Linked DNA regions of Diceros bicornis minor. The protein of the gene in region 2 interacts with the protein of the main gene of each other region in a pairwise test. Links are inferred from orthologs where the notes say so. Each region holds a gene or a part of one and is shown on either strand. Other genes may lie near its edges.

The links. The genes of interacting proteins can lie anywhere in the genome.
Region 1: the proteins of STAM2 (region 2) and LITAF interact in a two-hybrid assay, tested with the Homo sapiens proteins (4 studies listed by BioGRID and IntAct). The two-hybrid records come from large-scale screens. The link is inferred for Diceros bicornis minor from reciprocal best matches to the Homo sapiens genes STAM2 and LITAF.
Region 3: the proteins of STAM2 (region 2) and ENTREP1 interact in a two-hybrid assay, tested with the Homo sapiens proteins (2 studies listed by BioGRID and IntAct). The two-hybrid records come from large-scale screens. The link is inferred for Diceros bicornis minor from reciprocal best matches to the Homo sapiens genes STAM2 and ENTREP1.

What each region holds. Positions count from the first base shown.
Region 1 is NC_080765.1:38,395,067-38,403,098, forward strand, and holds the start of LITAF (lipopolysaccharide-induced tumor necrosis factor-alpha factor), read left to right. Parts: upstream 1-3,374; 5' UTR 3,375-3,379; coding exon 3,380-3,599; intron 3,600-6,382; coding exon 6,383-6,539; intron 6,540-8,032.
Region 2 is NC_080749.1:36,024,244-36,032,275, forward strand, and holds the start of STAM2 (signal transducing adapter molecule 2), read right to left. Parts: upstream 5,365-8,032; 5' UTR 5,257-5,364; coding exon 5,217-5,256; intron 1-5,216. Other genes in the region: FMNL2 (formin-like protein 2), read left to right, coding at 5,840-5,858.
Region 3 is NC_080761.1:23,819,370-23,827,401, forward strand, and holds the start of ENTREP1 (endosomal transmembrane epsin interactor 1), read right to left. Parts: upstream 4,844-8,032; 5' UTR 4,794-4,843; coding exon 4,377-4,793; intron 1-4,376. UniProt on the Homo sapiens protein: Functions as an activator of the E3 ubiquitin protein ligase ITCH in the ubiquitination of the CXCL12-activated CXCR4 receptor. Thereby, triggers CXCR4 endocytosis and desensitization, negatively regulating the CXCL12/CXCR4 signaling pathway.

The DNA.
Region 1 (8,032 bases), on a different chromosome or scaffold from region 2:
ATGTGACTACAAGAAAGATGGTGCGCGGTCGATAAAGGGGGGCCCCAGGCGTCAGTTTCCAGAGCAAGCCCCTCAGGCCCTTCCTTCCTCTTGAGGTCACGGAAAGAAGGCCCTCCCCGCCCCTAACACCTGCGCATTGGCTCTTGACGACACCGCTGCTGGCCGCGTGTCTTCACTTCTGGAGGAGAGAGGCAGTGGTTTTGAGGAGAGAAGTTCCGCCTCTCGGCTGAGTCATTGCCTCCCAGTGGTTTGGCCCAAACTATGTGCACAGTTCAGGGCACCCCGAGACTTTCTTTTCCTCCCAGAGCACTCCGTGTGCAGCCATGGCAGAGGGTGCTGTTCTAGGCTTTCTGTGTTTTCTGCCCTTGTGGGTTTTTCTGTGACTCAGTTTTCATAAATAAACGTGTAGGCAGCTCCGGGTCTGCCTTTCCTGAGACAGGAAGGGACAGCGCGTCCTTGACGGTCAACGCACATCTAATTACCGCAGAGCTCCGAGGCCCTGCTCCCCAGCTGCAGTCTCCCCGAGCCCAGGTTGTGCCCGAAGCAGATGTGGGGGTTCTTGGGGCCAGCCGGGAAGGAACGTCAGCCGACTCCGGGGTGAGCCTGGTCAGGAAGTGTCCTGGGGCTGGTATTTGGGGCCTGTCTTCCCTCCGCCTCCTGTATTTCTGTGCCTGTGTGTCTGAGGAAACTGACAACATACCCTAACCACTTTTCACAATTGTTCTCATGTTTAAACCCTGAACCTGTTTTCACCAAGATGTCCTGTGGTCTTGTTAACCCTTCTCCTCCTGCTTAACCCGCCTCTGTAGACGTGTGTGAGGACCCTGGTTTCCTCCACCCACACACAGGGGCCTCCTGAGGTTTGCTGCTTGCTTCTTTTACAGACCTGCTTCATCTACCCTTTCTAGGCTTGGACCTTTCCTCTCTCTGTAACCTTCCATGGCTCCCACTGCTCCATAGCATTGCTGTCCTGTAGAACCAGAAAGCGAGCCACATAGGTAATTCAAAATTTTTTAGCAGGCGGCTTTTAAAAAGTGAAAAGAAACACGTGGAGTGAATTTTAACAGCATGTTACTTACCTGCATCTATCTAAAATATTATCATTTCAACATACAGTCAATATAAAAAAATTATGAATGAGATATTTCACATCGATGTCTTAAAACATTTTTGAAGGCCAGCCCTGGCGGCCTAGTGGTTAAGTTCAGCTCGCTCTGCTTCGGCGGCCTACCTTTGCTTCCTGGGCATGGACCTACACTGCTCTGTTAGCGCCCATGCTGTGCTGGCAGCCCACATACTTAAAAAAAATAGAGGAAGATTGGCACGGATATTAGCTCATGGCAAAGCTTCCTGAGCAAAAAAAAAAAAAAGTTTTTGAAAGCCAGGGTGTGTTTTACATTGACATCATATCCTAAATTGGGTGTTAAAATTTTATCAGAAACATTTGATCTCGATTCAGAGTTCATTAAATTTGCTGTTGAAGAAGTGGATTCACATACCCAAGGTGTCCCACGCTTACGTAAAAGCTTTCCAGTAATTAAGTTGTGTATTAGATTTTAAATTTTAATTGCCTAAACTTAAATATGACTTAAAAATTTACTTTCTCAGTCACACTAGCCACATTTCAAGTATTTAGCAGCCTCTTGTGGCTGCTGGTGTGACCATATGGGACAGCCCAGATGGAGAACATTTCCATCCTTCCAGAAAGTTCCATTGGACAGCACAGGCTTATAAAGTCCAAATACCTCCAGAGGACTTTCAGAATTTTCTGGAAGCTGGCCCCAACCTATCTAGCTTTATTTATTGACTTTGTTTTACACGTGTTCCCTTTCCCATGCCTCTTTTTCTACTTTGAAATGCCTTTTTGTCTCTTCCCCTGGAGAAATCTCCTCTTTCGAGCTCGGCTTAAAGGCAGAGCTTCCTGAAGGATTCTCCACTTCTCCCCACAGCAGAATTAATGACTGCCTCTGCCTCCCACGGGTTCTAGAAGCCGAGGCAGAATGCGTGGGAAGAGGCGCAGGCCGGTCGGAGCCCCCGGACCGTGGCTCGCTGCCCTCCCAGCTCGTTTCCTCACTTCTCCTGGGACAGGTTTGAATGGATCTTCTAACGCAGCCTTAGCCCTGCCCCGCTGGAAAAACAGAGCCACACAAAGGAGGGCACTGTGTCCTCTCCAGCTGCCCTGGGGCTGCTGCGCATGGGCTTCAGACGGGAACACGGCCCGGGTGCGGGAGATGTAATCCTAGGTGGGCATCAGCTCCGTTGGGGAAAAAACCCTTTCTCTGCCCTCACAAAAGGAAATACGTGCCTGGCTGCTCTCATACTCAGTTTTCAACATGGAAACTGGTGTGTGTGTGTGTGTGCGCGCTTTTTAAAAAAATATAACATACATACAGAGAAGTGCACACGTCCTCATTGCACGACTCGAATTTTCACAAAGCGAACGTGTCCATGCACCCAGCCCCCAGATGAAGAGAGAGAACATGAGCAGCCCCCCAGAAGACCCCCCTTCAGCCCCCTTCCAGCCTCTCCTCCGCCTCCCAAGAGTAAGCACTTTGCGGCTTCTAGGCCCATGCTTCGTTTCGCCTGTTTCTGGACTTTGTGTAAACGGCATCATTTACGGTGAGCTTTTTCGGCGTCTGGCTTCTCTCGCTTGGCACTGTAATTGCGATAGTTCCTGATCGGGTTCTGAATGCCCTTGTGTTTTCCGTCCCCCTGAACATGATTAGTGAGACCACAGCAGTTACAAAGAAAGGAGAAAAAACACTGGATGTGAAAGTTGGGTCGCCTTTGGGCAATGGTTTTAAGTGCGAAGAAACTTCTGCTGGAATTTGGCTGATGTTTGCCCTTTGAGATTTTCTCGGTTTTGGTGATTTTTGGTTGTCATTATTTACCTTTTATCTTTATTTAGGGAATCCCTTGTTAAGGTGACAATTCTTGGGTCTCCAAGGAACATTAACCCCCATTCCGGCTATTGAACAAGGCTGGACATGAGTCATTTCCTCAGATTTTCTGGTTGTCAGGTGGAAAATTAAAGATTAGAGTGGAAAAGGGGCCGGCCCTGTGGCTTAGTGGTTAAGTTTGGCGCACTCCACTTCGTGGCCCAGGTTCGATTCCTGGGTGTGGACCTACACCACTTGTTGTCAGCCATGCTGTAGTGGTGACCCACATACAAAATAGAGGAAGATTGGCATGGATGTTAGCTCAGTGATATCTTTCTCAAGTAAAAAGAGGAAGATTGGCAACAGATGTTGGCTCAGGGCCAATCTTCCTTGGGGGCGAGGGGGCGGGGTGCGAGGGGGCGGGAAATGATTAGAGTGGAAAAGAGAGAAATGTCCATTGAGTGTCTGATCTGGTCTCTTCTGGTTTTGCTTTAGGTAAAATGTCTGCTCCAGGATACTACCAGGCGGCCGCTGGGCCTTCCTCGGTGCCAACTGCGCCCCCGTCCTATGAAGAGACGGTGGGCGTTAACAGTTACTTCCCCACGCCTCCAGCCCCCGCGCCTGGGCCAACCACGGGGCTCGTGACAGGCCCAGATGGGAAGGGCATGAATCCACCTGCGTACTATACCCAGCCAGTGCCCGTCCCCAACGCCAACGCAAGTACGTGGGGTCTCCCTGGTCTCCCTACCGCCCTGACCTTGGCTACTCCATGAGAATGAAGACAGTGACCAGGGTGGCTCTGCCTAAGGGTCTGAGCCAAGTGCCAGCCAGTCCAACTTGACCCTTTATCCTGAAATTTCGCATGCAGGCTAGGTTCCGTATCGGTGAGGCCCGTGGCTTTTCCACAATAAGGAACGGTTTACGAGCCTTCCCAAGTCTGCTGTAAGCCCATCCTTGGGCTCTTACCACAGAGGGACAACCAGCTATTCCAGAGAAATTTGGGAAGGGGAGTTTACTTTTAAGGGCCCCCCCTTCCTGCTGAGGTTGGTGGGAGAGCTCTGCGCGAGGCCAGGGCTGGAGGAGGAGAGGGAGAAGAAATAGCCCTGAGTGAGGGAGCCCGCCCAGCCCACCAGCACCATTCGCGCACGGTGCTCCCCTGCCTCCCAGCAACCTCTTCACGACCTTGCCCCTGGGTACCTCCTGCTGCCCAGGTGTGCCCAGTATCACCAGCAGCTCGGGAGGAAATCCCCAGCTCAGAGCGGGGGGCGGGGGGGGGTGCCCGTGAGTCAGGCTGCCTGGGTCACCCACCCTCCTCTGCATCAGTCTCCCCACCTGTAAAATAGTGCTGCTCAAGTACCCCATCAGGGGGTGGTTAAGATTACATAAAGCCCTCTGAGTCACCATTTGATAAAAGTGAACTAAAGTTGTCATTGTGCTCAGCTAACTGTCCCCCCTTGAGATGGAGGAGGACCAGGTAATGACTTCAGACTGTTTCAGATCACGCTCTGATCAATATATAACTCATTCTTGCACTCAAAAAAGACTTAGTAAAATTTACATGTAAGAGCTAAAGTATGCAATACTGCTTTTCTAGAAGGTCTTTCTAGGAGTATGAAGGTCACTTAGCTCTGGGCAGTGGTTAACTTCCCCTAATGCATAGATTATAGAAATGGCATTCCAACAATGTGGAAAGGAACAGAAGGAAGTCACTTTGACAGAAATATGAGGTTAATCAACTTTGCCAAAAACATAAAGAACAGCCTGAACTGGAAGGGCTTCCTGATTTACATCACTCTAGATTCCCTTCTGGTGATTGTGAATGTCTGTACATGTTTTCACTTTTTAGTGTGATTTTATGTGCTCATTTCATGTATCGACATGGCTCCCCGGCTTGTCTTAAAGAACTGGGTCCGTGTTCCTTGGCCGGGTAAACTCCAGCCTTATCTCTGGGTGTAGGAGTTCATGAAGGAGCCCCGTGTGAAAAGAGGGAATTGTTCATCACGGTTCACTCTGTACCAGGCACCACATGGGGTTCTTTACCACCCTTATCTCGTTTAATCCTGGCAACAACTCTGTTCCTTCCATTTTTTAAGTAACAGCTTTTTTGAGAGAGAATTCTCATACCGTAGAGTTCCCTCTTGTAAATGATATATGATTCACTGGTTTTAGTATATTCACAGAGTTGTGCAACCATCAGCACTAATTCCAGAACATTTCCATCAACCCAGAAAGAAACGCTGTACCGGTTAGTGTCACTTCCCATACCCCCTTCCCCAGCCCCTGCAACCACTAATCTATGGATGAAGAAAATTGAGGCCGAAACCCATCACATCGCTGTTTCTGAAATTACCACCTGCAGACCACCTTCGTAGAACCACTCAGGGAGCTTAAAAAGCAGTTTGGGGACCCTGCCCCAGACCTGCCGGATCAGACTGTCTTGGGGGGCAGGGCCCAGGACTCTGCATTCTCAGTCGGTTCCCTCCGTGATTGCACGGAGAGTCGAGTTTGAAAGCCTGGTTTAGCTGAGCCAAAGTCCTCTTCCGGGAGCACACAGTCTTTTCCCATCTCGTATGTGGAGGTTTTGCGAGCCCCTCAACTGATAATTCTGGAAATCTGCCACTGCTTCTTCTCGTGTTGTCATTTTTCTCCCCACCCCAACTTTTGTTTTTTATAAAATACACATAACATAAAATTTATCATTGTCAAGCATTTCTTTTTTGTGTGTGAGGAAGACCAGCCTTGAGCTAACACCCGATACCAATCCTCCTCTTTTTGCTGAGGAAGACTGGCCCTGGGCTAACATCCGTGTCCATCTTCCTCCACTTTATATGGGACGCTGCCACAGCATGGCTTAGCGAGCGGTGCGTCGGTGCGCGCCCAGGATGCGAACTGGTGAACCCTGGGCCGTCGCAGCAGAGCGTGTGCACTGAACCGCTGTGCCACCGGGCCGGCGCCATCAAGCATTTCTAAGTGTACAGTTCAGTGGCATTAAGTACATTCACACTGTCATGCAACCATCACCACCATCTGTTTCCAGAACTTTTTCATCTTGCAAAACTGAAACTCCATACCCATTAAACACTAACTCCCCACCCCCTCCCGCCAGCCCCTGGCAGCCACCATTCAACTTTGTCTCTGTGACTTTGACTCCTCTAGGTGCTTCATACGTGGAATCATACAGTATTTGTTCTTTTGTCACTGCGTTATTTCACTTAGCATAATGTCCTCAAGGTTCCTCCACATTGTGGCAGGTGTCAGAATTTCCTTCCGTTTTAAGACTGAATAATATTCCATCGTGGGTAAGGGTAGATCACGTTTTGCTCATCCATTTATCCATCGATGGATACTTGGGTTGCTTTCACCTTTTGGCTCTTGTGAATAATGCTGCTATGAACGTGGATGTGCAAACATCTGTCGAGACCCTGCGTCTGCCTTTCTGCCATCTAATGAGTGTTTTCCTCGTTTGCTGATCAGCCTGTGTCTGGTGTTCTTCTTTCCATCAGTTGCCGTGCAGACAGTCTACGTGCAGCAGCCTGTCTCCTTTTTTGACCGCCCAGTCCAGATGTGTTGTCCTTCCTGCAACAAGATGATCGTAACTCATCTGTCCTATAACGCCGGTGCCCTCACCTGGCTCTCCTGCGGGAGCCTGTGCCTGCTGGGGTAAGTCCGTGGTCCACTCGGCCCCCGGGCTCTCTCACCTTCCTCTCTTGTAGGATTTCTCAACTGCAGCACATACTTCTGTGTTGTGGGGGGCCTTCCTGTGCACTGTAGGATGTTGAGCAGCATCCCTGGCCTCTGCTTACTAGATGCCAGCAGCACCTCTTCCCCTACTGTTCTAACCAGAAATCGTCCTTCTGGAGCATATCAGGGCCTGGATGCCGTTGTCCCAGCCATCGTTTCTCCTTGCTCGTCTGCTCAGACCACTCCCTGCATGTAGGGACACGCACGGCAGCCGCGTGCATCTGTGTAGGCTGAGGCTGTCAGGGATTTCTTTTGCTTCTAGGATTTCATGACCTAAATAATAATGTTTGCCTGACTCTGAAAGAAGCGTTAAACAGTCCGTACATTAAAATACTTTATAGTCATCTCTTCAAAACTTCTTATCTTTTTATGACCTCAAGTATTTTTCCCGTTGCCCGTACAAGGAGAGTGTGTAAATATTTATGTCTGCACCAAGGGTATTATATTGAGAGAGAGAGGAGTTTCTGTACTGGGAGCAATTTGAAGAAACACAATTCAGTTTTTTTCCCCAAACGGACAGAGGCGGCATCCTTCTTCCTGGCCGTGGAGTCACTCCGTGAAACCACAGGCCCTCTGTTTTCTTCCTTGAAGGAAACGGTGTTTGTGCGTTTCTTTTCAGGAGTGCTTATCTCTTGTACAACAGCTGGCTCGTTCCTCATCTCCTGCTTGTGACTCAGGTCGGGCAAGAACGGTATTTCTCTTCCTAATTTCCAAGAGAGGCTCAGAGCCCCAGAGAGCTTGATTAACTTCCTTGAGGACACGTGTTCAGGGGGCAAGAAATGAGACCGAACAGGTTTCTTGGCTCCCGATTCCCTGTCCTGTCTAGGGGAGTCCACTGATGGCTGTCATCTTCACTCCTCGGACAGAAAATGCTAAATATTTGCCTTTAGACATTTATATTAAAACTAATTTTTATCTTTGAAATCAGGGAAAGACAGAATGGAAACGTCTACTGAGCGTCAGCCTCTGCTGATCTGGCTTTCAAATTGAGGCAGCTTTTCTGTCCCTCCCTCCTTTTTCTTCCTTAAATATAGTACCGTGGGTTCAAATCCTGCCTCCCGCTGCTGTGTGACTGTGGGCAAGTGGGTTCATCTCTCTGTGCTCCAGTTTGCTGGTCTGTAAACTGGGGGGTTATAATGCCTACCTTGGGGGGTTGTTGGGGATAAAATAAGTCAGTGTGTGTGCAGTGCTTCATGGAGCCATGTCTGCCCATGTAGGCTGTAGATTAGGAATCTCTCTAAATGGCCTGGCTGCCCTATTTGAATTCGGGAAAGCTTACGCAATAGGAGGAAATTTCTCTCACGAGGACGTTTCCTCATCAGGGTATTTCCTGATTCTGCTTTGTGTAAATCAGTGTCTTCCTGTAAAATGTTGTTTTTTAACTACGTTTTTGACAAATGTTGCTTGTAAGG
Region 2 (8,032 bases):
AACAAGAGCCTTATAATTTCAGGGTAGAGGAGGCTTTCTTAAACAAGAAAAATAAATCAAGGGAGAAAGACAATATCACTAAATTAAAACTTAAATTTTCTTAACAATAAAAGACATCAGAAACAAAAAGGAGCAAAAAACTGGGATATATATTTGCAATTCACATAACCAACAAAAGATTAGTAGAGAATGTATACCGAACTCTAAAAATCAGTAAGATAAAATAATCCAACAGAAAAATAAGTAGAAGTAATAAGCAGGTAATTTTTAGAAAAAGAAAACAGAATGACCAAGAAATATATGAAAAGATGCTCAACTTTACTAACAATGAAGGTGAAATGAAAACAATGCTCTATTTCACACTCATCAAATTGGCATAAATTTAAAAATTTGACAACACCCACTGTTAGTGAGAATGTGGAAAAACAAGGGACTTTAATTTCACTGCTGGCAGGAGCAAAATCTCCCACGAGTATACGGAAGGGCAATTCTGCACTATCTAACATTTTGCAACTTTGCACTATTTACACTTTTAATAAGGAATTCCTCCTCAAGATACAATCCCTAGAGAATCTCTCGCTCATGTGAACAAGAAAACATGGATACAACTTTCACTGCAGTGCTGTCTGTAACTGGAAAAAACTTCATGTCCATTAACAGGAGAATTGATAAATAATGTGGTATATTCATACAGTGGAACACCACATAACTGTTAATGAATTAGAGCTACAAATATCAACATGAATAACTCACAAAAAATGCTGAATGACAAGTTACAAATGACACACAAAGAATGACACTATTTTGGGGCCAGCCTGGTGGCCCAGCTGTCGGGTTCGCGCGTTCCACTTCGCAGGCCCAGGGTTCGCCGGTTCGGATCCTGGACTCGGATCTACTCACCGCTCATCAAGCCATGTGGAGGCAGCGTCCCATAGAGAAGAGCTACAACTCTACAACTATGATACACAACTATGTACTGGGGCTTTGGAGAGAAAAAAGAATAAAAAAGAGGAAGATTGGCAACAGATGTTAGCACAGAGCCAATCTTCCTAAAAAAACAAATAAATAAAAAAATGACACTATTTTTATGAAGTTTAAAAATATGCAAAACAATACATATAGTATATTCGTGTGTATAGTATATACATTATAAAATAGAGTTTATATCTTTTTGAAGAGTGTTTAACTCTGAGAAGGGAGGAAAAAGAATAGGATCAGGTAGCTACTAAATATATCAGATAATTTCAACTGTATCTTGAATGTTTTCTTAAAAAAAAAGAATAAAGTGTGGCAACATATTAGGACTTGAGAGAGCTGGATGATAGGAACAGGAGTTTATATCTTGTACTTTATGCTAAAAATATTTCATGGTTTAAAAAATTATAAAATACATTAATTAAAATTTGTAAATATCTGAAAATATTAGGATTTTTGGTACAATGTAAGCAAAATAAAGTATAGAAAAAAACTGGCTGTTACAGCTATCATTCTTATTCATAACCAAAAATTATTTTTAATTTTAATTTTTTGCAAAGATTATAACCTCACTGTGTTCAAGAACTGACTCAAAAAGAATGTAAATGTTATAGATTTGAATGTACAAAGTAAATTTGTATTACTAGAGTGCTGTCAATATCTTTTTTCCCCCCAAATTGAGGTTACTCTATGTATTTCTGTGTCCTCTACTTTTTTTTTTTTGAGGAAGATTGGCCCTGCACTAACATCTGTTGCCAATCTTCCTCTTTTTCTTTTTTCTCCCCAAAGCCCCAGTGCACAGTTGTGTGTCATAGTTGTAGAGTTGTAGCTCTTCTATGCAGATGCCGCCTAAGCACAGCTTGATGAGCGGTGAGTAGGTCCGCGCCCAGGATCTGAACTGGCGAACCCCGGGCCGGCGAAGCAGAATGCAAGAACTTAACCGCTATGCCACCAGGCAGGCCCCTCAATATCTATTTTTATAGTAGAGTTTCTTATAAAATTCCATGGAGTAAAAGATCCCATGACCGAAAGCCCCCAAGCTCCTCACTGTCAAGTTCATCAAACACAACACAAGCCAAAGACACAGCAATACATGCATTCAAATTTCACTTAGACAAGTCTCCTTCTAAGATAAAGGTTCACACTTCAATCCACTGTGTCAGAAGAGCTTTGCAGAGGTAGAATCTGAGCTCAGCTTTGTGGGACACAATTAAGTATATCTTCAAGGAAGGAGATACCAAGGTTGCTGGAAAAAAGCAGAAGTCTATCAGAGAATAGTAAATGGCACAGAGGCAGAAACTAGCAAGAAAGACTGCCTGGCTGGAGTAAGGAGAAAAAAAGATATGTGAAGAAGAACTGGAGTCAGGGAGCATAACAGATAAATTATGACTTGGGAACCAACATAGCGAGACTGGAAAAATTGGTACAGAATATACGGAAATGACACATTCCCTTTTAACACTAACCACTAAATCTTCCTACTCTGGCTCTGTCCCCCACGTTGCCCTTTCCCCGTGGAATTCCCTAAGAAGGCTGCCCCAACCAGGCTTTAAGACTTGGGGCTGGGATGGGCAGGGGCAGGTGGGAGTATTTTCTCAGCACAGCTTCAAAGGAATTTCAGTGAAGAAAACAAAAATAAATCCAGATTTGAAGAAATCCAATAAATATTTAAAGAGCTCTAATGCTACCATACCCAGCATACCCTTCAGGGTTTGCAGGTTCTGACTCCAAGAAAAAAAAAGGAATTTGTCAGAGTTCCTTACATCCTAGCCTTTGGCTTGCTTCCACATGACAAGTCATCTACAACCATTCAACTCAGGAGAGCCTTCCTAGACATCTTGACCCACTACAGCCTTTCCTCAGGGTCTGAGAAAAGGGTTTCTTCCCCAAATGAATGTCAGAAAGACTGCTCACCCTCTGGGGAGACTCTGAACCTACCAAAGAAATGTAGTTTCATCTTCAGAGGCCCTTAAGTATGAAATAACCATAGCATACATATAGTAAGAGGTGGTTACTTCCTGCAGGTAAAGGGCTGTCAGGGAGTGGGGAGAGAGGGAGGATAGTGTCAACACCTTTACAGGGAAGGCATCTGCCTGAAGGCCCTTGTCTTCTCTTCAGGGAAGATGACTGCTTTAAATAACAGGAGAATGTAAAGCATCTCGAGTATTTCTAGTACCATATTTATCACATTATATTACAATTATCTTTTTATGTGTGTATGTGTCCTCCATCAGATTGAGAGTTCCTTGAGGGCAGGAACTCAGTCTACTTATTAAACTTTTGTGTCCCCAGAACTTAACACAATGTCTGCGACTGTAATCATTCAATGCACATTTGTTGAATGAAAGATGAACACAAGTATGACAAAAAAGAAACAACGGTAATAAAAATCTGACTGAATCCAAGAGAGCAGGTGAAAAAGACAATGACACTGCAAAAGAACATTCCTGGAGACATTTCAAGTTAAATATTAACTTGCTTGTACTACATAACTATTTCAAATTAAAAGGAGCTTTAAGTTCTGAAAAATGTAATATATAGTTTTTCTTCTATGATACAGGTTTAAGGCCAGTTTAAACTTAGTATTTCATTCCACTTTTTTGATTAATTCCATTCACTTGTCTAAAAGAAGTTACAAACAGGCCTCAAACTCGCCCTTTCACCCTTAAGCTGCCTTTTGGATACTGACTTCAGTCACACTTATTTGAGTTAACAAATAAATACTTGATGCTTTGGTTGATGGCACTGTCCAGGAAATAATTTACACACAGCAGTATTTTTTGTCTGAACAGCAGTGCCTCTTTTACTACAGTGGCACTAAACTATGATCCACTAAACCATGCTGGGACCTCAGGAGCCTGAGGGGGAGGTTTAGAAAAACAAAACAGGCAGAGCAACTAGGCCTGCTTCTACCAGAGACCTTTTCAGTCAGAAAACAATGGGCTTCTGGGAAAGATTTCCCTTGAAAAAAACAGTTTCACAGTTTCTAAGTTTGCAAATCATTTGTCTTGATTCTATTTTGCCCTTTCTGTTTTATTTCACGAGGACACAATGAAAGTCTTCACAACAGCAATAAAAAGTACAGGTCTCACAGCAACAAAGGAAAGTATCATTACATGTTCCAAAAGCAGAGCTGTGAGCCTCAACGTATGCTTCCTAGATTTATGCCAGTCACCTGTGCGACATATTTGAAGACTAAGGGTCAAGATATAATTATAAAATTTCTCAGCTCTCTGAGAATGGAAGGAGCTTATAACGTACATCATGTTTCACTTCTGAACACGCTGTGGGGATCCCATAATATACCAAAATAGGGTACTTTCTAGAATCTCCTCATAATTAGAAAATTTTAACTATGAAACAGGTGGCTCACTACTACGATGTGCAGTATTCTGTGTGACTCTGGCAATTTTCAGCCATGATTTTTTTTATTCCACTAAGTCCTAACACTCTGCCTAGGGTTCTGCTAAGTATTGCTACAAAAATCTTTACTCAGCCAGTTTGTTTTACTGTTATTCTAATGCCCAAAAGAAATTCTCATATCCCGCCCAACTTTTTCTCACTCCAAAGTCAGAGACATCAGCGCTCTTACGACGCCAAGAAATGAAATACTATTAGCTGTTCTTGACTGTTTTGAGATCCTAGGGTTTTGCTTTTCATACTCTAAGAGAACAACTCGTAGCACTTGCGCTACCCGTGGACAGAGAGTAACACTTCCACTGTAAATAAATCCCGAAGCTGGGCTGTCAGGACTTGGATGTATTTGCATATAAGCGAGGTGAAATAGCTTCTTCCTATTGAATGGGGGCGAGTCGAGGTCTCTAGAGTCGGACTGCCCTAGACAGCAGGGTCTTCATCGCTGCATCATCTCTTAAGGGGGGAAGGGGATGCTTAACCAGCTCAAGAGGGAGCAGGAAGTGTGTATCATCAACTCCGCAACTGCTTCATCAGTCCAGTCTCCAGCGAGCCCCAGGCTCTTCCCCATTCCTGCACCTGGCGAGGAGAAAGGACTTCCTTCGGGGTCTCCAACTTCAGGTGGCCAGGTGGCATTCCCCAAGCCGCTGGCGACGCGCCGAGGCTGCCCCCTGAAAAATCCCGGCAGCGAGGCAGCGGCGCCGCCCCCCTCTCGCCCTTTGCTTGGCTTTCCAGTCCCCGGAGTCGCCGCCGCTCACCTTCTAGCACGACAAACAGCAGCCCCGGGCCCAGGCCCAGCACTTACCCACGTCCTGCTCGGCACTTACCCACGTCCTGCTCGAACGGGTTGGCGGTGAACAGAGGCATCTCGCCTGCGCCCGAGCCCTAGTCGCTGCGGTCTGGCCGAGGCTCGGCGGCTGCTGCGGGCTGGGTGACGGCCGGCCCAGGCTTCCTAGACGGCTCGGCTCCGGCAGCGTCCTCGCCCTTCCGCCAGCGCACCTGCCCGGCTCCCGCCTGACGGGCCAGCTCCGGGTCCGCGCGCCGCCCCCGCGCTCCGCCCTCAAAGCCTCTCCCGGGGCGGGGTCCCGCCAGCCACGGGCATCCTCTCAGTGCCCCTGTCGCCGCCGGGAAGAGGCGGCAGCCCTTGTCCCAGGCCCCCACAGGGGTCAGGCGGCCGCCGCGACCACCTTTCCATCGCTAGGACCCCGGCAGGCCACGGAGCGGGGGACCTTCGAGCCGGAAGTTGTCGCGCCTAGAAAGGGGCGACGCCAGAAGCGCGGAAGCGCGCAGTCCCGGCGGCGGCACGGCAGGGGGCGCGGTCGTGTGGTGTTCTCCGCGCGGCGCAGCCGGTTTGGAAGGCTAAGTTCTCGCTCCTTGGGTGCGTTCTTAAGCTGCAGCCTAGTCCCTCCACGGCCGCGGTCGCGTCACAGTCCCGTTGCCCTGGAAACGGATGGAGCCTCGGCGCAGAGGTGGGTTTGCTCTCGGGCGCTTACGGTGTTGCGCTCTCCTCGGCGCCTAAACCCCGCCGGAATAACCGCCCTGGAAAACGGTGGTCGAAGTAACCGTGGCTCTGTCGGGACTCTGAACTTTTCGGTTTCCATCGTGTCCTCGCCGGGCAAACACTGCTGGATTGTGGGAATCCAAAGACGAATGAGGCACACTCCGTGCCTTCAAGTTGCTGACAGTTTTACAGGGGCAGTGTATAACATATACGTGACAGTATATGACAATCCTGATATGTACTAGGGGTCACACACTCAAATTCCCATGCAGCCAGGTATTTAGATGAATGTAAAAGTGCAAGCACCCTTCCCACCCACACTCCCTAACCCTCTTAACCCTGCTTTATTTTTCAATAGCGTTTATCACTTCCTAATATATAATTTACTTAATGAGGATGTTTTCTGTCTCCCCTCTTTAGAATATAAACTCCATGATCAATTTTGTTCGCAGCACCTAAAACAATGTCCGGCAAGAAATAGGTGCTCAGTAAATACTTTTCCACGTAGCTGTGGCTATCCAACCCAACAGCGCGTTCTGAAGATGGCAGGTACTAGTCAACTTCGGCCATTTGTTGAAGTGTGGGCCCTGCTGGAGCTTCCAGTTTTTCAGTGATTTTTAAATGTTAAGAATTGCTTCAACATTTTAACAATGGGTCAAACAGAACCGTCTTACAACTTCTGGTATAAAGACTTGATACATACAAGAGAGAACTCTTACATGGAATAGTTCCGAAAGCTGTTTGCATTTTACACTGTAAAGCTAGGTGCACAAATAAGAAAGATACGTTTGCAGGTGGAAGGATCTGGTTTTCAAAAAAACATTGAACCTAGGATGTTCAAGATATGTTTGGGAACTGTCTAGATGGATTTATCTAGGATTAAGGTTTAGTGTTGGAATGGAAAACAAGGCTAGATAGAAATAAGAGGAAATAGATTGAGAAGAGCCTTAAGGAACAAGCTAAGAAATTTTAATTTTAGCATATAAGGCATTAGATAATCATTTAAAGATTTTGAGCGGCAGAGTAGTATACTAAAAAGAGTTTCTGGATATTAATCTGACATCAATGTACATGATGTATATGAAGAAGCAGACCCAGACAGAACAGTTTAGGAGGCTATTACAGCACTGGAAAGTCATAAGAAGAGATATTGTGTAGGAGCTTGTATTGAAATAAGAGCAAAGGGCTGAGGATTAGCCCTTGGAAAGCATTCACATGTTAAAGAGATTCCTTTAGCTCCTCCTCATCTTTAATGGCAAGCATACTCAAGAATCTACCTGTGTTTACCTTTCTGTGTGGGTACTCAGTCTCCAAGAGTGGTATGTTATTTTTCATGAATTTCCAAAGCGTTTAGTTTGAGTGTTATTTTTTTAAATAAACTTATTTTGGAATAATTTTAGATTTATAAAAAAGTTACTGAGATAGGACAGTGAGTTCTCGGTTACCCCTCACCCCATTCCTCCCACTGTTAACGTCTTACATTTCCATGGTACATTTGTCAAAACTAAGAAACCAACATTAGTTCATTGCTGTTAACTAAACTCCAGGCTTTATTTGGATTTTGCCAGTGTTTACATTGATGTCCTCTTTTTTCCCAGGATCCAATGCATATGTGCCAGGGATCCCCAAGACCACCCCCAGATTCAGTGATTCACTAGGACTCACAGGACTCAGCATATAGTCATCCTCAAGACTATGATTTATTACAAAGAAAGGATACAAAACAAAATCAGCAATGGGAAATGGCACGTGGAGTGAATGAAGTCTGGACATGCAAACTTCCTAGAGTCCTCTCTCAGTGGAGTCACACAAGACATGCTTAATTCCTCCAGCAACAAGTTGTGACAACACATGTGAAATGTTGTCTACTGGGTAAGCTCATTGCAGATTCGATGCCCAGGATTTTTATTGCAGGCTAGTCACACAGGCACCCTCTACCTAACGTGCACCCAAATTTCCAGGCTCCCAGAAGGAAAGCCAGTGTTCAGCATAAACCACATTGTTTGTACAGTTTAGGCATCATAAGCCATTCTTATCAGGGAATTGTGGGAACTCTCCCAAAATCTGAATTCCCAGATGCCAGTCAAGGGCCAACCTTGCAAGCTGGCCTTGATATTGGATAGCAGTCTCAGGCCTGCTATG
Region 3 (8,032 bases), on a different chromosome or scaffold from region 2:
AAGAGACACAAACCAATGCAACTCTCTACTTTTTCATTAATCTATCGCAGTGTGGTAGGCTGGGTCTCCCACAATCGCTGTGGAATCTAACTAATAATAACTAAATGCGCGCCCAAATCAGGAGCCAGGACAGCACGGCCTGAACTTGGACATCAAGATCCTCCCTCTGCCGCCACCTGGAGTCAAATTTCAGGATGCTTTTAAAAGTGGCTAATCTCTTAGCTTCATGAATTTTGGGAATAATCATCAATTGAGTCATTAACCAAGGATACCAAAAAGAAAATAAATGATCACAGAGTGCTCAAAAACAATGAGTATATTAAAAACACTCCCTGCATGCTGTTGAAAGTATGAATGTAAAGTACAGAAAAAGAGTCTTTATAGGACTTGCTAATTCTTAAATATATATTAAAATAGATAAAATATACCTTCAAGGTTCAGACAAGTGAAAGCAGCCTCAAAATCTCAGGCTTAAGGTGAGAACACTCACAGAGGTGTATATGGAAAAACATTCTTGAACTATACCGTGTTTAACAATAGTCCTTTCAAATGAATATATTTGTCCCTTGGATTTAATTTTGTATCAAATATACAAGCAAAATTTTTACTGAAGCCAGAAGAAGATTTGCTGATTTAGTGGATAGAGCCAACTAAGGCACATGCATAATGCTCGTTCAAAGCTTGAAACATGAGGTTATCCTTCTACTGTGTTCCTACGTGGGTTTGAAGTAACCTTAGACTTAAGTTGGCACTGTCACTCAACTACCTAGTTTCATATGCCAATAAAACTTCTGAGTGAAAAATAAAACGTGGTATATCCATACAATGGAATCTCATTTGGCAATAAACAGGAATGAAGTTCTGATACGTGCCACAACCTAGATGAAGCTTGAAAACATTATGCTAAGTGAAAGAAGCCTTTACCAAGGACCACATATTGTATGATTCTATTTATATGAAATGTCCAGAATCACAAATCCATACAGACAGAAAGTAGATTAATCAGTGGCTGCCTAGGGGGTCAGAGAGAGATGGGGAGTGACTGCTAACGGGCACAGGGTATTTTTGGGGGCAAGTGATGAAAACTTTCTGAAATTGATTGTGGTAATGATTGCACAACTCTGTGAATTTACTAAAAATCATTGAATTGCACACTTCAAATGGATGAACCATATGGAATGTGAATTATATCTCAATAAAGCTGTTATTAAAAAACTTTTGCAGGGCCGGCCCTGCGGCTTAGTGGTTAAGTGCGTGCGCTCCGCTACTGGCGGCGTGGGTTCGGATCCTGGGCGTGCAGTGACGCACGGCTTCTCCGGCCACGCTGAGGCCGTGTCCCACATACAGCAACTAGAAGGATGTGCAACTACATACAACTATCTACTGGGGCTTTGGGGAAAAAAATAAATTAAAAAAAAAAAAAAACTTTAGCAGTCCTCAAGTCATCATTTTTAAGGTTTTTCATAAAAACCTTAGTTTAGCTGTCTTTAAATTAGTTACAATGTGCTATTAAGCCCCTTTGTTTTAACTATTAAACCCTTTCCTTTTAGAAATACATACTGAAATATTTAATGCCTGAAGTTATGATACCTGGAATTTACGTTAAAATAATCCATCCAGTGGTGTAAGTTTGCATATAAAGTGGCCACATACTGATAACTACGGAAGCAGGGTGATGGGTAAATGGGGGTTCATTATACGATTTTTTCTACATTTGTTGAGATTTAAAATTTTCATAATGAAATATTAAAAGTGGAGGGGGGGGCCGGTGCCGTGGCTTAGCGGTTAAGCGCGCGTGCTCCGCTCCTGGCAGCCCGGGGTTCGGATCCTGGGCGTGCAGTGACGCACGGCTTCTCCGGCCATGCTGAGGCCGCGTCCCACATACAGCAACTAGAAGGATGTGCAGCTATGACATACAACTATCTACTGGGGCTTTGGGGGCAAAATAAATAAGTAAATAAAATCTTAAAAAAAAAAAGTGGAGGGGGGCTCTTATGGTCACTTCTATGCTGTCTCTCTATTCTGTTTACATTTTCTTTTTAAAAATATAAACATATTGAAATATTTACGAATGAAACGATGTGATGTCTGAAATTTGCTTCAAAATAATATGGGAAGTTAATCTGACAAATGGATTAGGGAGCATGATGGAGCTAATTCCTACCTCGCTTGGAACACCCATCCTCCTAGAGTTATCAGAACACAGAGAGGCAGCACTAGAGCCAGGAAGGGGTACGGATGAAACAATTGTTGGAGCTGGCGAGGGGGATATTACGGTTCACTGTACAGTGTTTGAATAAATTTAAAATTTTTCATAATGCAAAGTTAAAAAAAAAAAACTTCTCTCACATACATAAACTACTGGTGAGACTTTTTCCTAAAACACCAAGAGAGTCACGGTGTCTGGTGCTATCCTCACATCCTATTTAATTGTTCTAGAGATGCAACATCTGTCGGTTCTGTTGTCACTCTGCAAATTCTGAGGTTACTCTCAGAAACAGGCCACAAAAACTAAGAAAAACGAACAGCTGCCGGTTTGCACGTGGAGCTGGCAGGCAAGGTGTAGAAAACGACCCTATAGAAGAGAACTTAGTTCCAAAACACCGAGTCTTTCCCTGCTCTGGTTTGCTGGGTCCTGGAGACAAGGACGCCCAGCCATCAGGCCCAGGTTAATAGCCTTTATCTTCTGGCTGACGGCCTTTTTTTAATATACTTCATCAAATCCAACTGTGGCTTGACTAACATCTAAGTGCATTTACCTCTGAAATAATTCACAATTGTACAATAATTTTGGGGTTTAATTTTATAAGGGAAAAATTAGTTTTCGATAACCTGAACTAGCTATATTTGAGAAGACAAAGAGATTATGATTTTACAAAAAGCAAATCCCTAAAAATGTATGCAAGATTCACTTCCAGCCTATGGTATTTAGAGAAATGAAATGCACCCACCATTTGGCTGAATTTAGTCTGAGAAGAGGACTAGAGAGCATAATGGATAAAATCCCTACCCTGTTGGGAATACCCTTCCTCCTGGAGTTTTAAAGAACACCCAGGGGGGCCAGCAGGAGAGCCCAAGGGCAGGACCAGGAGGGAGCATTCCTTTTACATGATGCACAGAGTGTGAACTCCAGTTACTGGAGCTGGATTGTACCACAGTAAGATCACTCAGTATCCAAGTATTTAAGGAGAGCAAATGGGCACCAGTTTAAGAATAAAACATCAGGCCAGGCTCAAGGTACTTAATGTTCTTCTTCAAAGAATTACTTTGGGTTCCATTAGTTCTCCCTATATTCTTAAAATTTGGTCCTGAATCTGGGTATGTGTGGACAGCCAAAAGGACAGTTTTTACGCATTCAGAACATTCCTTCATTACAGATCTTAGAACTAGAGGCGCTGCCAGACTTGGAGATTTCGTTCATAAGAAGGTCTTTTACTTTAAAACACTCATCTTCCACAGTCATTCCACAAAGACTTGTTTCCAACTCTCAACCCCGGGGCAAATCTCAAGAGGCTGGACGCCTTGCAAGCTGTGACATGGTTAGGAGGCAGGGAGGAGTAGCCACCCGGTGACCACAGAAGCTCCAGGCTGGTCCCCGGTGGAAGAAGCAGGGCCAGGAAGCTGAGGGAGGCAGACTGCTCCAGCCAGCCGCCGCGCGCTCCTGGGGGCCTTGGCGAGCTCACGCGTAACGACAGCAGACTGCGTGGCTCCAGGAACAGACTGGGGGATTAGGGTCCTCAGTCATAAAGGCCAGCTACAAGCGCGCGTTTACACACACCCTGTCATTAACTCCTGAACTCGTTCCCAAATACAGTGGAGCCATCCGACACCAGATACATTTCACATTTACGCGTGCTTTCAAGTAGAATAAAATACGTGACGTGCCCCAGTCAAGCTGTCACACATCCATCTCACAAATAAACCTACTATGTGCCCGGCACTGTTGATACATTAGTGAACAAACACTGATCAAAATCTCTAGCCTCCCCGCACGGACACTGTCAGCGAAATAAATACTCAGTGGCCGACAGAAGTTTAATCATTTTCCTCCAATTTCCTGCCACCCACCCCATCCTTCCAAACTCCTAAAAAGCTGGAAATCTGTTTTATTGTATTAGCTTGACAGAGACAATAAAATCCTTTAGCCTGCGAGGAACAGACACTGTCTAGGTGCAACCCATTCGCCCCTGAACTCCACTCTCTCTCAGCCTTTTTTTCCAGCCTTAACGCCTCCAAAACTTCAACTGGCTTGAAGGACTGTGCTCTGTCACTGCAGCCCTGGGGTGGGCAATCGCAGGGCACTGGACGGGACCGGCCAGAGCCCCCTGCTCCTGGGGTGGCCCTGCCGAGGCCAGCGGGGCGCGTGCGGCACTCACCGAGGAGCCGGCCCAGAACGGGCACGAGTTCTTCACCTGCGGAGAGCTGCTCAGCGACAGTGCCCCGAAGCTGAGTGCCACCATGCAGCAGCCCAGGATCAGCTGCAGCAGCCCGAGCGACAACAGCGGGCGAGCGGGGAGCAGCGCTGCGCCCGGGGCCGCGGCGGCGGCGGCGGCGGCGGCCCGGCGGGAGGAGAGCGCGGGCGGCGCGGCCAGCACCCCGGCGGCGGCGGCGGTGGCCACGCAGCGAGGCCGCGCCGGGGGCTGCAGCGCGGCCCGGGGCCAGCGTGGCCGCAGCGGGGGCAGCGGCGGCTCCTGGGCGGTGGCGGCCGCGGCGCCCGGGCCCCCGGCCTGCGGCCCGCCGGAGAGCCCGGCCACCGGGCAGCAGGAGCCCGGGAGCACCACGGGCAGGGACATGGACGGGCGGGGAAAGAGCGGCCGGCGGCGGCGGGGAGGGGACGCGGAGCGGAGCCGCGGGCGCCGCGCACTGGGCACCGCGGGCGGGCTCCGAGGCCGAGGGGGAGGGAAAGAAATGCGCACGGCCCAACCACTTGCTGCTGCTGCTGCTGCCGCCGCCACCGCTGCCCGGGCTCCCGCCGGCCGCACCCACCTGCCACTCGGCGGGTCCGCCCCCGGCCGGCTCCCAGCGCACTCTCACTGTCACCCCCACACACACCCACGCGCGCCCTGCGCTCGCGCCGCGCGGCTGCTGCAGCCTTTGGGTCACGGCAGAACCTGCGCCCGCTCCCTGGGGTCCAGGAAAGGTGCCCAGCCCCAATTTTTTATATAGGTCCCTCGGGCTAGGAAGGACTTCGCGGTCAGGGTGCGTCGGAGCTGGCGGCCGACGGCTGTCCCCCACCCGCCGAGCTGGGGCAGGACAGGAGCGCAGGAGAAGCGCTGTGGACCCTTGCCCCCTTCCGGTCCAGCCAAGAGGGGGCCCCCGGCAACCTTTAATGTGAAGGGAGTCCGGCTTTAAACTTTTTCCCCCCAGGGCGGGGGTGAAGGCAGGAGGAGGGGCTATGGGTGACTTGGTGGGAAAAGTCTAAGTTGCCGGCTTTCAGGGAAGGACGAAGCAGAGCGAACTGACCACTAGCTCTGGGCTTCCGGGCGCTGACCCTGCGCCGCAGCCCGCCGCCTGAAAGTGGGGGAGGGGGTGGGGAGGGAAGCGGGCAGGGATGCTTTCCCCGCACCAGGGTAGGAGCCAGAGTGAGCACGAGGTTACGTTGGAAGTAAGTATCCAGCATCCGGAAAGAAGGAACCGGGGGCGATCTGGAGCGTGTGGCAAGGGTTACACTCTGTGTCCGCCTCCCCTTGAGTCCTGAGCTGTATTAGGTATCACCTGGTAGAACATAGAATCCTGAAATTTCCGAAGAAATATCCTAATAAAATCCTAATCTGTTTTTGGTAATTTATAAGACATATTAGAGCCTTAAAAAACAAAAAAGATGATTCGCCTTCTAAAATGGTTTTCCCTAATAGTATACCTTTCTCTCCAATGAATTCTTATGTGTGAAAGTGTTCTTATACATAAAACTATTATAATATATTTTTTCCAGGTTAAAAACCTGAGCAGTGTCATTTTGCAGTGTCAGTCTCAGTATCAGGCAACTCATTTTATCAGGAAGATGAGGGTATTTAACATTCTGCTACCCAATAAACCAAGGGAAATGTGTATCCATTTTTATGCTCTGCTTGCAAAGGCTATACAGTATTTATTTTGGTCATTACTTACTTCAACCCACATTGCTAATGTGCATGTGTGTTTACATATACACTTTTTGAATTCTTAAAGCACCTGTGATTAATAGTCCCTAAGACTTCTTTTACAAACTCCTCTTGGAAATAAACTTCAAATCCTGGAGAAAAAAGGAGCTGTCTTTTAAAATAAACGTTTCAAGTATGTTTGTTTCATGCACTTTAAAAATGTCTTGCAGTACATGTTCTTAAATTGCAGGCGATGTTAAATTAAAAGCTTCTTGTGTACTGAGTTTATACCTTATATTTTAAACACAAGCTTAAAGGTATTTAATTTTCAAGATTCTACTGCACTGTGCAATATAAAACGTCTGAGTGAGTCTTGAGAAATTCTGTCAACTTAACAAATCTATTCCACTGATCTAATCCTTGACACCAGAAGTGTACTATTAAAAATGTATTCTTTGTGTCTAGGAATGTTGATGCTAGAAGTCAGATGTCCTCCCTCCCTTTGGAGGGCTAATGACTGGAAGAGACAGTTCCGGGGGGCTGATAACCATCTGTTTCTTGCTGTGGGTGCTAGTTACATGGGTGGGATTCATTCTGAGAAAATTCATGGAGTTACACTTTGTGCATTTCTCTGTATTTTATACTTAAATACTTTAAAGTATTTCTAAGTACTTTGCCCTTAAATTTTTTGTGTATGTCCCTATATAGAAACAGGTGATAGCAGAGGTAATTAAAATCCATGGATAGTTTTATACAATAACTTTAGTTATTTTTTCAGGCAACTAAACCTTTCTAAAGCTGCTAATTAAGAGTTGTGCTGTAGCTTTCTTTTTTTATTAGCGGCCACATTTATAGCTGTGAGTTTCTTTTTCAGCTTATCATAAACACAAATCCATGTAACATTGCCCCAAACTTTAAGATTATGCCAAATAACACTCAAGTATTAACACTCAAGTATTTGAGGTTTGGATTTGTAACCCAGGCTTGATTCTTTGCATTCCCTAAACACTTGCTTACCATAAGTCCTTAGACCTCATCAAGCTGAGCTGTATGTAACTAAACTCTTTTTTTTTTTTTTTTTTTTTTGTGAGAAAGATCAGCCCTGAGCTAACATCCATGCTAATCCTCCTCTTTTTGCTGAGGAAGACCGGCTCTGAGCTAACATCTATTGCCAATCCTCCTCCTTCCTCCCCCCCCAAAAGCCCCAGTAGATAGTTGTATGTTATAGTTGCACATCCTTCTAGTTGCTGTATGTGGGACGCGGCCTCAGCATGGCCAGAGAAGCGGTGCGTCGGTGCGCGCCTGGGATCTGAACCCCAGGCCGCCAGTAGCGGAGTGCGTGCACTTAACCGCCAAGCCATGGGGCCGGCCCTGTAACTAAACTCTTAGAGGATGATTCAGATCTATTGATTTCAGGTTGGCTTGAGGCTTTGGAAAACAGTTTGACATTTCCTCAGAAAGTTAGAGTTATCATTTGACCCAGTAATTCCATTCCTAGGTATATACTCAAGAGAAATGAAAACATATGTCACACCACAACTTGTACACAAATAGCATTATTCAAAATAGCCGAAAGGTAGAAGCAACCCAAGTGTGGATGAATGGGTAAACAAAATGCGGTATTATGGATGAATGGATAAACAAAATGTGGTAATTCATGCCATGGAATATTTTCAGCAATAAAAGAAATGGAGCACTGATACGTGCTACAGCGTAAATGAACCTTGAAAACATAATGCTAAGTGAAAGAAGCCAGTCACAAAAGACCACATATTATATGATTCCATTCATATGAAATCTCCAGAGAAAGACAAACACCACATGATTTCACTCATAAGTGGAAAATTAACACACAGACAGAGAGAACTGTGTGGTGGTTACCACGGGCAAGGGGGTTGTGGGGTGGGCATAAGGGGGGAAAGGATGCATTTATACAGTGACTCACAAACAAT